Linked DNA regions of Caenorhabditis elegans. The protein of the gene in region 1 purifies or fractionates together with the protein of each later gene. This does not show direct contact. Each region holds a gene or a part of one and is shown in the gene's direction. Other genes may lie near its edges.

Region 1 (7,352 bases):
CATCAAGTTGTGCAAGACGGCTACGAATTCTTTGCTAATCGTCGTCTGGTTACAATCTTTTCGGCACCGTTCTACTGTGGACAGTTTGATAATGCAGCTGCAGTGATGTATGTCAATAAGAATCTTGTCTGTTCGTTTGTGGTGAGTTTTTGGGGAAGTTTCAGAAGTATGGTTGAGACTGTTTGATCAAGTATAAGTAACTCTAGCTATAAGTGTAAAAACGCAATATTCCGACCAAGAGCTAGATTCAAGATTATTCTTGTTGCATTATCTTGGTTCTTATTAACTACGATGTAGTCTTCATATACCTATTTTTGACTCTATTATCTATTCCACTCTTCTCCTAATTAAAAATTCATCTAATCTATTTTCAGGTTCTCCGTCCCAGAAAGAAAATTGCGAGACGCCGTATGATGCCAGCGGCCAGCTAGTGTATGATTCCTCGAATGTATTGAACTTTTCTTCTGTCTCGAATTTCCAGTGATATAAACACATTTTCGTGATTGTTCCTTTCTCCAGTAGTAGTGCATAGATATTATTGTTTACTCAGTTCCATCCACTCACTTTTCTCTCTCTCTCTCATTTCATGAACTTGTTGTATGTTCTTCCCTTTCATGGATTTTGTGTGTCCCCTTAAATCAGGGTGATTTTGGGTAATTAACAGGAAAAGTTGAAAAATTTACAGGAATCAATCCACCTCCACTGTCAACCTGAAAATATATTCGAAAAGATTTTTTTAGGATTTTATGCACAAATAGAGAATAAACAGTAATCAGAAGAAAAACACAAAAACACTTATTTAAATAACTGTAAAGAATATTCTCGCGTGAACTAATAAACCGTGTTTTTATTGTAAAAACCATCTTTCGATAAAGCAGAACTTCGAATCAGTTTATTGCTGTATAGTATTCAGATACAGTCTGACTCTTCGTAGAAATCAACCGAAGTCTAAGCAAAATGCCACCAAAACCGAAAAGTAAGTTAAAATTTTAATTGTCCCCTCATAATAGCGTTATTTTCAGAATCTACTGGTGCGAAGAAAAAAGTGAGCAAATTGAATAAGCGTCCCAGCAAGATAAGTGTCGTCAGTGTGAATGAGCGTAGTAAGAACGAGAGAAGTGTGATGCAATCAATTGAGCAAGAGGAGGCAACCAACAATGAAATTGTTCCAACTCCGAAGAAGACCACGGCTCAGATTGCTCAACAGCCAACGGTATGGGAATTAACTATGCGCTGGTTAGGCTGGCAAACTGGGCGCTCGGTTGTTTGAATAATTGAGAAATGATAAATCTGTTTCGAAGTTTTGAAAAACAGAATCGTAACAACGGAACCCACCGAATCCGGCAAGCCGGACGCTGGTTTAGTCCGGTTTCAGTCCAGAATGAAAATCGCCCATGTCGCGCCTCGACCTGGTGAAATATCAAGTAATAAATTTCAGCCGACACTTCCTCAGATAATTGCAAAGCAAGAGCCAGAAGTCGCGATGAAAACGATGATGCTGCCACCACCATCTGATCCACCACCACCACCACCACCAGTGGCACCTCATCAACCTCCACCACAACTTGCAACAAGTGCTCAACCGCCGCAGCCACCTGTCATCAACTCACAACTGCCAAGAATGTCTCCGGCTCCAGCAATTCCACCGTCGATGGCTCAACCACTTCTGCAGTCGCCATCTCCTGGTGCAGATATTGCAATTAGAAGACCATCAAAGGAGAAAACAGACGAGAAATCGGTTGATGAAACCGGCGGTTCCGATAAAAAGTAATTATTTTTTGCACACATAAATCGAAAACTATAATTTCAAAACAAAAAATACTTTATATTTTTCAGGAAACGGACCGAAGTCATCTGTAGTTGGATTCGTCTGGTGTTGCAAAATGGAGTGGCTGGCCTCAAAAAGGAATACCGTGACAGTCCAAACGAAGCGCCAGAGGATATTGCAACGAGTTTCTTGGGGAATCCGACACGCAATCGATATCGGAACATCCCGTGTTGTGACATCACACGTGTCAAGTTGACTGACGATCCTCATTTCTACATCCACGCAAACTTAGTCAGGTAAAGAAAATCCCATTTGCAGCAGTTGGAATACATTCTGTGACGCCACAGAGTGTACTTAATACATATCGCAAAATTACATGAACAATTTGTTATTTTCAGTTCTGGACCGAATCCACGACGCTTCATTTGCACACAAGCACCGTTAAACGGCACAATTGAAGAGTTTTGGAAGATGATCATTGTGACAGGGATCGAGTACATTGTGATGCTATGCGAGCTGGTTGAGAAGGGGAAGCCAAAAAGCGCAGAATACTTTCCAAGCCAAATTGGACAAACAACAAAGATCGGGAGACTGTGCACGGTTACCAAGGAATCCAGGGTAGATGTAAGAGTTCAAACATTTAATTTTCAATGAATAAGTTCTTATTTTTCAGATCGATAAAACTCTGGTGATGTCAACAATGCGTATTTCGAAGCCCGGAGACAATGCAGTTGTCAAAATTGTGAAGCACATACACTGGCGCAATTGGCCTGATCACGGTGTTCCCGACAATTTTCTGTCACCGTTCCGTTTGTTGACTGTTGTCAAGAATTGCACGTAAGTTTAATTTCTTTGAAAATCACTTTATAATTATCTCATTTTCAGAAAACCAATAGTTGTACACTGCTCCGCTGGCGTCGGTCGAACTGGCACACTTGCTCTCATTTTGATTATCCTCGAGTCAATTTGTCTTCCGGATTTCATTGGAGTTCCACGCCTTCTGGCAAAACTTCGAGAGGAGCGTTTCAGAGCAGTCCAAACTGAAATGCAATATTTGTACGCTCATCGATGCGTCCTGGAATATTTGGCACTGAAGAAGTATGTTCAATCTCGCGAAGATTTTGCCAAATTCGCCAAGGTTTGTCTATTATTCGGATTCTAATGCTTAACATTTGGTTTTCAGGATTACGAGCAAGCACTTGCAATGTGCCCAAAAGAAGCTTAGGAATATGATCTTGATTTGCTTGAAATATGGAATAAAAAATTCTACTAGATTTGTTTTGGTTTTCTGAATATCAACTGAATTTATAATGTGAAATTAAATCTTCTGCAGTCATATGAAAACGGGAACAAGTGTAACTTTCAGACAGTGCTAATACTTCTGAGAGAACATTAGTGCGAGAGAAGAGAAGAGCATCTTTAATTGTGCAGGTATGCAAATGACCTTCACTGCACACCTACAACTTATTAGAACAATGATTGATGGTCGAAAAGACTAGAAATGTAAAAAGAAAGTTCGGTTTTCAGAGTTAAACCCTTCCAGGATGCCCATCAACTCCATGTCCACCCGGTTGACCTGTTTTTCCTTGCGACCCAGAAGCCCCTGGCTCCCAGACATGGGATAACCAACATCTGGTCCAGGAGGCCCTACTCTCCCGATTCTTCATTAGCTCCGCTCGATCCATTGTCCCCTGGCATTCATGGATATCTTGGAAGACCTCTTCCTCTAGGTATTCCATTCATTCCAGTAACTACCACATCTCCAGGATGCCCCCGTTAACCCTGGTTTTACAGGTTGTCCTTGTGGTCCCATAGGACATTGAATACATCCATTATATGGTAACGATACACCGACTCCTTCGGGGCTTCCAGGTTGTCCAGCTGATCCGTCTTCACCAGGGTGGCCAGGATGACCAGAACATCCCGGAGGTCCACCCGGACAGACCATTGGCACTGAAAACGCGTAACTAATTTGAATATATTTAAAATTTGTTTTTTTTTGATAAAATAATAAATTTCCGTGATTTTAAACTTTAAAAGCTTTGTAAAAATTCCAAATAAATAATTGATGTGTCACGTGAAACGTTTCTATATAAAATAAGAGAGTTTCAATCAGATAAATTTATTATTTCATCGTTGAATATCCACTTTCAAGTTCGCTTCGAAGATACGAAATACTGAAGATGGCAGAGAAGAAAAAAGATGAAAAGGAAACCAAGGAAACTGAAAATTTTATTCTCAAGCTGAGCGCTGAAACAGTGAGTATCATGAATTGGTCCAAACTATTGCTAGCAAGCCGGACTAAATCGGACTAAACCGGGCGTCCTCTTCCCGGACTCTGGGCAGTAAGATACCTGTTTTTGAGATGATACAGAAGTTTTTAAATTTTTTTGGACCATTGCTATGAATTTTGTCTTGGACGTCCGGTTTGTCAGCCCTAGTCCAAACTTACTGGAGTTTTTTTGTTTTTGGTGTTATTAGCAAGTGTCATAAAAAATTAAAATAAACATTTAAATTTCAGGTGTTATTTTCAAATGCAAAACTTGGTGATGAGGTCACAACAACGGTGTTGAAAATGACAAATCCTACGACGGACAAGTGTGCTTTTAAAGTCAAATGCACTTCGAATGATTTGTTCAAAATCAAAACACCAGTCGGCTATATCAAACCAGATGAAACCATTGATATACCGTTGTGCCACAATCCAGGAAAAGCGATTCCAGAAAACAATAAGCAGTACTTTGCATTCTACTACATTAAAACAAAGGAAGACGGACCTGCTCGTGACGCATGGAAGAATCATAAGCCAGATGGAATGAAACGCATTTACATTTCATTTAAAAAAGGTGACGAGAAAGGAGATGAAAAAAAGGATGAGAAGAAAGAAGAAAAGAAAGAGGAGAAGAAAGAGGAAAAGAAAGAAGACAAAAAGGATGACAAAAAGGAAGCAAAGAAAGAAGAGAAGAAAGAAGAGAAGAAAGAGGAGAAGAAAGAGGAGAAAAAAGAGGAGAAGAAAGAGGAGAAGAAAGAGGAGAAAAACGATGAGAATAAGGAAGAAAAGAAGGAAGAAAAGAAGGATGAAAAGAAAGAGGAAAAGAAGGTTGAAGAGGCAAAGAAATAAAAAAAAATTATGTGAACTTTTTAATCTCGAATAAAGTTTCTTCAATGAATGTTTTCCTCTGTTGCTCTTATATTTTAATCCAGAAAAATAATTTTTTTTGTTAAATTTGAAATCAGCGCGGTTTTCAAAACTGTTTTGCGGTAAATAATATACTCCCGGCCTTCTATATCGATAAAAAATTTCTGTGATCTTTAGAAGTACACCGTCTCACGCAGGTCAGAGGTTGTATACTCTCTGTCCGGGTGGCTCTAGATTGGCTTAGCAGGTCATTATAGAGTATCTAGAGACAACAACTTTGAAAACTAATATCTGGCTTCAAACTAACTTTTTTGAAAATCTCCGTAGCCATTTTGTTGCAAATTCTGTGCTCTTTCAGAATTTAATACTGGCATTTCAAAAACTTTCGTTACCGCCGAATTCAAGCGAAAAAGTAAATTTTCAGGCCTATTTTTGGAGCACATTTAAAAAAAGAATGGATAAGGGAATTAATAGATTTACCATACTTTGAAAATTAATATCTGGCTTCAAACTAACTTTTTTGAAAATCTCCGTAGCCATTTTGTTGCAAATTTTGTGCTCTTTCAGAATTTAATACTGACATTTCAAAAACTTTTGTTACCGCCGAATTCAAGCGAAAAAGTAAATTTTCAGGCCTATTTTTGGAGCACATTTTAAAAAAGAATGGATAAGGGAATTAATAGATTTACCATACTTTGAAAATTAATATCTGGCTTCAAACTAACTTTTTTGAAAATCCCCGTAGCCATTTTGTTGCAAATTTTGTGCTTTTTCAGAATTTGAAAACATCATTTCAAAAACTTTTATAACCGTCGAGTTCAAGCGGAAAAAGTAAATTTTCAGGCCTATTTTTTGATCACATTTTAAAAAAGAATGGAATAAGGAATTAATAGATTCATCATACAGTGCGTGCAACTTCTATAGCGCTCCCTATTTTTTTCGTGTTTCGTCACTTTCCCAAACTTTCTTGAGAAAACCATTATAGCCATTCGATTTCAAATGTCAAAAAACCCCCTGTCCGAAGTTTTCATGAAAAAATATCAAAGACTACGGTAATTAGGTCAAAAAGTCTGAAAAACGACCGTGCAGCTTCTATAGCGCTCCCTCGAATTTTCGCTATTTTTCAATAAAATACCTAGTTTTATGAGATTTCTGAAAAGGATATAGTATTATATATTAAGAAAAATGATCATAAGGTCTCATTTTTCAATTTTCAACAGAAATATATTACGTGAAAACTTCTGGGATCCCAAGAGTGGTCTGAAACGCTTCACTTTGCGTTAGTGGCCAGTTCTCGGCTCCCACTGCATGTATTGATACGAAACTTGAACTAATCATTTAATTTTGTTCACTAAAGATATTTTGAAAGGTTGATATTAAATTCGGTGGAGATAGGTAAGGTAGATAGCGCTGCTCATTGTGAGGAAATCAGTTTTTCTCTCTAGAACAGATTTTTGCGACGTGCCAGAGATTGGACGCGGTTCATTTCTGGTAGAAAAGCTTCATATTCATTGTTGAAATTTTTATAAGTGTTATTCGAACAAAAAACTTTTGAAAAATGATTGGTCCAATGCAGGAGATCTCCTTTAAAAAATTTGCACATACATCAAAACTGGGCGAGTTCACTGCCCGCAGGTTTTTGGGTGAATTTTTAGTTTTTAACAAACACTTTGAAATATTAAGTTCGGATGCAAGTTCTGTGACCCCTCTGAACACTTCGACAGTTCTTTTGTCGTTCGATCTCGAATGAAACGCGCGGAACCACGGGAAACAGACCCGCCCAGTGTTTCTACACCTGTTAATTTGTTTGAGGGATATTTCTCGAATTTTACCGATCATTTTCCAACATTTTTCGATCCGGACAAAATTTGTTTTAAATAGTTAATTGAATGGATATCTTGTCTACCAGAAAAGACGCACATCCATTCTCTGACATGCCTCAGATGAGTTTTATCGATAGAACAACTGATTGGTTACTAGCCTTACTATTAACTTGGGCTGTCAACCTGGCCCATATTGACCAAATTTTATGACAACTTATTGAAACATTATCAGTAAATCAAAATGAAAATTTCGGTCACGTTTCGTATCAATACATGCAGTGGGAGCCGAGAACTGGCCACTAACGCAAAGTGAAGCGTTTCAGACCACTCTTGGGATCCCAGAAGTTTTCACGTAATATATTTCTGTTGAAAATTGAAAAATGAGACCTTATGATCATTTTTCTTAATATATAATACTATATCCTTTTCAGAAATCTCATAAAACTAGGCATTTTATTGAAAAATAGCGAAAATTCGAGGGAGCGCTATAGAAGTTGCACGGTCGTTTTTCAGACTTTTTGACCTAATTACCGTAGTCTTTGATATTTTTTCATGAAAACTTCGGACAGGGGGTTTTTTTGACATTTGAAATCGAATGGCTATAATGGTTTTCTCAAGAAAG
Region 2 (7,683 bases), on another chromosome or scaffold:
TCCCAATCAACGACATGCTTATCTGCGAATTTCACAACTCTTGGGAAGTTTGCTCTCTCTTCTGCCGTATATTCATCACTTCGTTTCACAACTCCTTGAACTTGTCGCAGCTGACTTCCAATATTTTTTCGTACAAATTCTGCCATTTCTTCATCTGGGAATAAATGTAGGCGTTGGATGTGACGACGTCGGAGAAGATTATTTCCAAGTGACTGAAAAAAAGAATATAACCACCGCGTACTTCAGGTGTTCGAATAGTTTATATTAGTTATTGCCAAAAAATTGTTTTGTTTAATTTTCAGGTAAATTTTAAAGACATTTTTAACGTTGAATAAATCATTAGATTATTTTTTTTTCAAAAATACTTCAAAACTTAAAAAAATTGGATGACATAAATTACAAAATAAAAATACACTCACCCTATAAACCGATAAAAAAGCTATTCTGCATTGATCGTAATCGTGAATCTGCCATGCTGGAATATCAGCTTTACTTTTTGGATATTCCTGCAAAAGAATTGATAATTTCTATAAAAGCAGCAAAAATCACCATATTGAACTTATAAATTGTGTGTTTCCAGTCAAATGCATGCATTGCAATATCTTTGCAGTTTGTAACAACTACATGATCTCCACAATCAGTTTCTGGATGGAAAATTGGTTTGTGTTTCCCTGCGAGATATCGAGCAACTTTATCACCAAGAAGTTCGGCGTCCTGGAATTAAATATGAAATAAAAATAAATATATTCATGTTGTTATTATGTTTTTCTGTTATTCGAATGTACATTTTTGTTTTCTGGTAATTTTTTTTTACAAAAATGGACTTTTTCGATTTTTTTTCCAGATTGTTCAGAGGAAAAAATTGAAGAGAGAATGCGATTTTCTGTAGTTTTCAAGATTAAAAAAATTAAACTTTAAAATAATCGTGCCAAATTGGGTTTTGGCGGACTTACGACATTATAATATAAGTGGAAAAAACTGAGTAATTACTACAATTTGCGTGCTAATAAAATAAATTCAGGAATTTTTTGAAAAGCTTTACTATTGTGTTTGGTCATTGTTGAATTATTTTTTATCAGTGAGCAATAATTTGTATTATTTGAATAACTATGTGTATTAGAAAGGATTGCACTTATATTATTACTTAACACTTCCATTTGTCAACAACATGTTTTCCCATTTGATCGTCGACATGTTTACGTTCAAACATTCAAAAAAACAAAACAAGAGGCTTAAAGGTATACATACTTGTTGATTCGCATCAATCACGTGCCATTGTCTCGAAAACTGCAGCCATTGGTTAACACGGTCAAATCGAGAAACGGCACGCCGGTAGGACATCTGATTGTTTGTAAATGATTTTCAAAATGTAATTTCAACGAATAAATGATATAATAAAGATATTAGAGGAAATTTACCTCAAAAGGAAAAATCAAAAAGAAAAAGCAAACATCAAAGGATTTATACTCGAAAATGAGAAGGGACCGAACCAGAATAGTGAGAAAAAAAAGAATATTAAAGAAACAATTACAAAAAAAAAAGAAAAGTTCATAGAACAGAATTCGAAGAGAGCGGAAAGAAGGAATTTGGGGTGATATGATCACACAAAATTTACAATTTTGGACAGCATCTAATAATCTTCTAGGAGAAACGAAAGCGGTGTTGCATTGCTGCAAAATAAGAAATCTTAGATTATTTTTTTGGATGAAAGTATGAATACACGTGTGTGAGCAGTAAAAATTCGAAAATGAGCAGGTGCGATCACCAGACGATTTTGTTTTTAAACTCGGGCAGAACTGAGAACCGTTTGACACTTTCATAGGCAAGCATTACAAGACTTGAATAGAGAGCATTATTCACCATACGCGGTGCGAGACCCTGAAATATTAAAAACATATATAAATGTATTTAACTAATATTTTTCGTGAGCTCAGCATATTTTACGGATACTTATTTGAAGCAAAAAAATGGTGTAAACATGTTGATTTCTGAGCTCATTTTCTAAATTTGGTATATCTTGATTTGGCAAAACCATACCTTGGTGAATACTTGTGCTTTCTCATACTTCCATAGTCTAACAATCGTTTCCCTGTACGTTGTTCGATGAACCTGAAAATATTTTAATTTCATTGAATTAGATTACTAAAATTCTTACCTGTAACCGAATTCTCAGCATCTCCAATGGATTTGTAACCATTGCACTAGCGACTCCGCCAATAGAACCGCTCACAGCTTGGTCCAGGAACAAATTCCGATCATCAACTTCGGAAGGAGATGTTGGTTTCACTCCATATTCAAGTTCAGTGACCTGAATTAATAATTGACTTAATTCAGTTTAGCATAACTTTAACCTACTTTTTCACGAATCATTCTGAACACTGCTAATGAATTGTAATATGTAGACCAGAAAACCATTGTTGAAGGAATATACAACATGATTGCGGATAGGAATCCTCTGAAATTTTAAAATATGTCATAATTGAAACTGTAAAATATAAAAATACCTATAAAAACCGAAAATTCCATCAACTTTGTACACGGCCCTGATAACTCTCAAACCTAACGTTCTTCTGCCTTCGAGACCATCTTTTCTGATTGCATCTGCTACTGGTATATTCTTCTCTCCACCTAAATTATATTCTTCAGAGCAAACATTTCAAAAAAGCGATTTACCTCCAAATGCTTCTGGATTATTATGAACCATCATATGTTGAGCCACAATGTCAGTTGGTACAAATATTAGCTGTGCACAAGGAGAAGCGATTCCTCCGGCTAATGCAGATACCACAGAGTGATTAGTAATATGAAGATGGGTTTGAAGCAAGTCTCTGACTCTTTCATAAGCTGATGAATATAAAAATGAAGCTGACAGCTGGGGAAGTGTCATCCAGAATCCCTGAAATATTTTAAATTTCAATAAAACATCCGGTAACTAAAACTAACTTTATACAAAGCGCCGATTCCTTCTTGACGAATGATTTTAACAAATGCATCTCGCATTCCGTTATACACATTATTTTGTCTCTGTAGTTGTAGTCTGCTCTTCACAACAGACATTGGATACAGCATGCACCTGATTGTCCATGAACTGCACAGAGCCATTGGATAGAATTTGTACAAGTTGAGATGTTCCCATTGAATTACTAAAAGCTTGTCCTTCTGTATTTGACTCAGTGGAGATACTTTCGAGTTTAGCGGGGATGTTGCTATTGACCGAGCCTCAATCGCGGTGTCCATTTCAGACGAAACCATCTGTAACATCTTATGAACATTAGAACTTTTAATATCGGATAGAGCATACCTTTGCGAACCGCATGTTCTAATTTTAAAATCAAATAGTCGATCGTTTGGTCTTCAAGGCAAAAACGAGCAAAGTGTGAGAATCGGCTTAGAATTGAGCATCACCTGGAGAGTTTTTTCGAAGGAACTTCAAGCGGATATTTTGATAATCTGACTAAAACAGGAAAATACGTATTTTTTAAAATTTTATAGAAAAATAGACAGATGGAGAGAAAAACATCAACAAAGAACGAGTAGTTTAAAAATGTTCACCAACAAAAAAGAGGCACCGCATTACGGCGAGGGAGTGTGCTATTGAGAGAGACACAGCGTCGTAAGAACGGAGCATCGTAATGCGCCTTGTTTATTTTTATTCAAAGTTTAAAATTCCATTTTAATGTTTTGTTTTCCGTTTTCGGTAACGCTCTTTCAGCTTTTATGAATTTTTTCGTTTTATAGTTGGTTATTGTTCAATTGAATGTTTATAGGGTATGATGAACTATCAATATGACGTCTCTGTCATAATTCCAGCCAAAAATGTAGAAAAGTTCTTGCGGGAAACACTCAACGGTCTACTCGACCAGACAGCTTGTGAAAATTCAAAAATTGAGGTTAGAAATGCGTATGGTTTTGTTTCTTCTAATTAATAAAAATATCTCAGATTTGTTTGGCTGACGACGGGAGTGTAGATGACACTGTTAGAATTCTGGAAAATGCGCGGCTCGAGTTCGAAGAGATGGGAATGAATGTCGTTGTTACACACGTTCCTCAACCCGGTGGAGTTGGTGCCGCTAAGGATTGTGCTGTAAGATCTTCGAAAGGAAGATATCTCTGTTTCAATGATGCAGATGATGTCAGCTCTCCGAACAGAATCAAAAGCCAATTGGAGTTGGCAACGAAGTTATCGAAGTCTGGAGATGATTTAATTTTTGTAGGTGAATAAATTGAAGTTAAGTATAATACGATCCTAACTGTTTGTTAGGTGGACAGTTTCATAGACTACCAGAAGGCTCCACAACAAGATACACAAAATGGGCGAACTCGATGATCGGAGACAAAATCAGAAGTCAAGTCTACACATCTCATGGTCCCACGCTCGTTGCTCCTACTTGGTTCATTAGTAGAGCACTTTTCGATAAGGTTGGCGGTTTTCGAACAGATGTTTCGTGTGGTTTTCCTGAAGACTTAGAATTTTTCTACAAGTGCTTGGATTTCCCGGAGTGTATTTTTGATAAAGTAAGTAAATTGGCAATTTTAGCTGGAAAGTTAGCTTGAAAAAAATTCATTTCAAAATGTGTGTTATTTCAGGTCGATGATGACATTGTCATGTACCGATACCATAAAAACTGTGCATCACACAGCGTTCAAGAACAAACAATTTGGAATTTCCGTTTATCGAGATTAAAAGAGAAATACATCGCAAAATGGGACAAATTCACAATCTGGAGTGCTGGGAAGCAAGGAAAACGTCTTTTCAAGTAATGGTTTATGCTTGAAAACATTCTTTCAACATATACTACATTCTTTAGAAGTCTCACAGATGACGAGAAGATCAAAGTCAGAGAATTTTGCGATATTGATGAGTCAAAAATCGGGAGAGGTGTTCATGAAGAGTTTGATGAAGTGTCACGCAGTGTGACTCACAAAGTTCCAATTGTTAACCTTGAGTATGTCTTCACTTTCTCAGTTTCTTACTAAACGTATTATTTGTTTTAGAAATGCCAGGCCTCCGCTCGTCGTTTGTGTCAAATTGGACTTGACAAATGGTGATTTGGAGCGTATAATTGAACGAAAAGGCTGGAAAGAGCACGTCGACTTGGTTTACTTTGGTTGACAGACTGCTATCCGATACTTGATATAATAAACAATTTATCCGTTTAAATTTTGCATTTTGCGTTGTCTCATTGGTTCTCAGTGACTCCAATGTACTTTGATGTTGCAAATTTTTGTGTCTGGTCATTTTTCTCCCTCGTCGTTATCATTTTTCCTAACAGAACATGGGAAGAGATTACTAGGTGTCTCTGCGTCTCGTGTCTCCGAGTGATCTCTAATTTTCTCGCTCCGTCTGCTCGCGTCGTTGGAAAAACGACTCTGGCGCGAGTTAGTTTTCCTAATAGACGGCTTCTCCGTTTAGCTTCTTTAATTTATTTTATTGTTTTTCGGCAAAGTGGTTCCCTTCAGCTCTTTATTCATTGATTTTAAGTTTTAGATGGTGTTCCAACCAATCCACGAGGAAGAGCAAGTTTTCGTCGACTACGCCATTGAGTTGGTTAAAAAAGCTGGAACGGTGAGTTGAATTCGGATTAAAAAATCAAACTGTTTCCTAAAACAACAACGTCGTTATTATCTTTGTCTTATTTTTGTTAATTTTACAAATATGCACATTTAAATCAAATGCGTAACTCGAAAAACAACATTCTCTATTCCTCAGTTACGAAACAAATTTTATTATTTGAAAAAACATCAATATTCGAAAAAAACATTTTCAGCTCGTCCGTACCGCGTTTGACTCCCCGGAAAGCAAGGTTGACACAAAATCATCGAATACTGATTTGGTGACTGAAACTGACCAAGCTGTTGAAAAGCTTCTCATCGAAGGGCTCTCCGAGAGATTCAAAGGACATAGGTAAGAGCAAGGAATTCCCACGGTCCGCTCGATTTCACTCATTGTCTCCATGACAACCAGTTGGACTTTCTTTTTCAATCGAGTATTTACATAAATTTACTATTTTGATTCAGATTCATTGGCGAGGAATCTGTAGCCGGAGGTGCGAAAATTGAATGGACTGATGCACCAACATGGATTATTGATCCGATTGATGGAACTACTAACTTTGTTCATAGGTAAGATTTTTTTTAAATCGGACTCTTCAAATAATGGCAAATCGCGTTATTTAATTTCTAATTTGGACTCAAATTTTTCTCGAAAAACAAATTCTTATGTTATTATAGAATCCCTATGATCGCAATCTGCGTTGGACTTGCAATCAAAAAACAAATTCGTGCTGGAATCGTATACAATCCAATCACTAATGAACTTTATCTCGCTCAACTCGGAAAGGGAGCTTTCAAAAATGGATTTCCAATCCGAGCATCAAAGAATCAATGTAAGTAATTGCACTTTTCTTGTCATGCACCCTGCTTTTTGAAGTGCTTTCAAAGGGAGTTCTCTGTCAATCTCTCGGTCTGCATAATCGTGTTCAGTTCGGCGATCGCTGGCTCGACATTGCCCAGTCAAACATGCGAAATCAAGTGATGGCTGGTGTGCGAGGGTTTGTTTTAATTTTTTGGTCTAAAATTGATTACTTTTTTACAAAAAATATACCTCCACACTTCCCGCGCTGGTTTTGCACGTTTTACTTTCAATTTTATTTACATTCACATAGAAACGTTGCAAATTCCAGTCATTGCGGAAAGTGTGCTCATACTTCAACTTGGCTCAATTCGATCTCCTGTTATGCAGAAATCATTTGTTGATTCTTACAAGACTGTTATGTTCGACAAACAATGTCACGGGTACTTATAAATATTTTTTATATTCTTGTCGAAATCTAGTGACTTTCTTGAACTGTGCGTTTGCAAATTTTTTGAAAGTTTTACTAAAATTGAGAAATGGATAAGATGGAAAAGTTAGATGTTGGATGGACAAAGTTTAATATGAAAAAAATCACGAGGATGATGTGATATTATTATTTTTAATATTGTTATACATAATAAAAGTTATTTGAAAAAAATCCAAGTTTTTTTTTCAGACACCGTTCGTTTGGCTCCGCCGCGATCAACATGGTGATGGTTGCACAAGGAAGTTGCGATGGATATGTTGAATACGGGATTCACGCTTGGGATGTTGCTGCTCCTTCTATCATTGTCACAGAAGCCGGAGGTGTTGTCACTGATCCAACTGGATCCCCATTTGACGTCATGTCAAGAAAAGTTCTCTGCGCTGGAACAGCTGAACTCGGACGCGATTTATCTGCATGCCTCACTCATGTCGATTTCGAGCCGGAAGCCTAAATATATATTTAACTATTTATTTTCAAAACTCACATATTGTGACATAACATTCCTACCATAACATGCATTATCTGTATTTCCAATTTAATATTAGTTTTTTGATTTTATTTTCTAGTCGTATGTATTCTCGTTTTATGAGAATAAATTATTTAAAGATGTTTATATCTTAATTTCTGATACTTCAATTGCCGTTTGAGCGCACTTGATTTATTTATACTGTCTCTTTTTTAATAATTAAACTCAATATTCAGCTCTCACAAGCTCAACATCATGGCTTTGGCAGAGGAGGACGTTCACATGATCATCAAGCAGGTACCGATATTTTATATGTCTACTGTATTAATTCTTTGAAAAACTATAATTTTTGAGTTGATTATTGTTTATTCACAT

The links. Proteins that work in one complex are often made in the same cells at the same time.
Region 2: the proteins of ZK354.7 (region 1) and F13G3.6 fractionate together in Caenorhabditis elegans (co-fractionation; one large-scale study listed by BioGRID). This does not show direct contact.

Annotation. Positions count from the first base shown.
Region 1 is NC_003282.8:5,299,678-5,307,029, reverse strand, and holds ZK354.7 (Major sperm protein), read left to right. Parts: upstream 1-3,899; 5' UTR 3,900-3,951; coding exon 3,952-4,026; intron 4,027-4,289; coding exon 4,290-4,889; 3' UTR 4,890-4,952; downstream 4,953-7,352. Other genes in the region: ZK354.9 (Serine/threonine-protein phosphatase), read left to right, coding at 1-141, 375-431; ZK354.8 (Protein-tyrosine phosphatase), read left to right, coding at 958-976, 1,023-1,213, 1,439-1,767, 1,837-2,064, 2,167-2,392, 2,442-2,605, 2,654-2,906, 2,952-2,993.
Region 2 is NC_003279.8:7,300,775-7,308,457, reverse strand, and holds F13G3.6 (Glycosyltransferase 2-like domain-containing protein), read left to right. Parts: upstream 1-3,767; 5' UTR 3,768-3,770; coding exon 3,771-3,890; intron 3,891-3,940; coding exon 3,941-4,214; intron 4,215-4,261; coding exon 4,262-4,515; intron 4,516-4,587; coding exon 4,588-4,757; intron 4,758-4,808; coding exon 4,809-4,946; intron 4,947-4,995; coding exon 4,996-5,113; 3' UTR 5,114-5,158; downstream 5,159-7,683. Other genes in the region: mrpl-13 (Ribosomal protein L13), read right to left, coding at 1-212, 420-506, 550-714, 1,249-1,341; F13G3.7 (SLC (SoLute Carrier) homolog), read right to left, coding at 1,762-1,878, 2,038-2,109, 2,156-2,308, 2,356-2,455, 2,505-2,628, 2,674-2,896, 2,944-3,261, 3,302-3,316; Inositol monophosphatase ttx-7, read left to right, coding at 5,489-5,566, 5,769-5,905, 6,019-6,123, 6,232-6,386, 6,431-6,551, 7,032-7,293; dylt-1 (DYnein Light chain (Tctex type)), read left to right, coding at 7,564-7,605.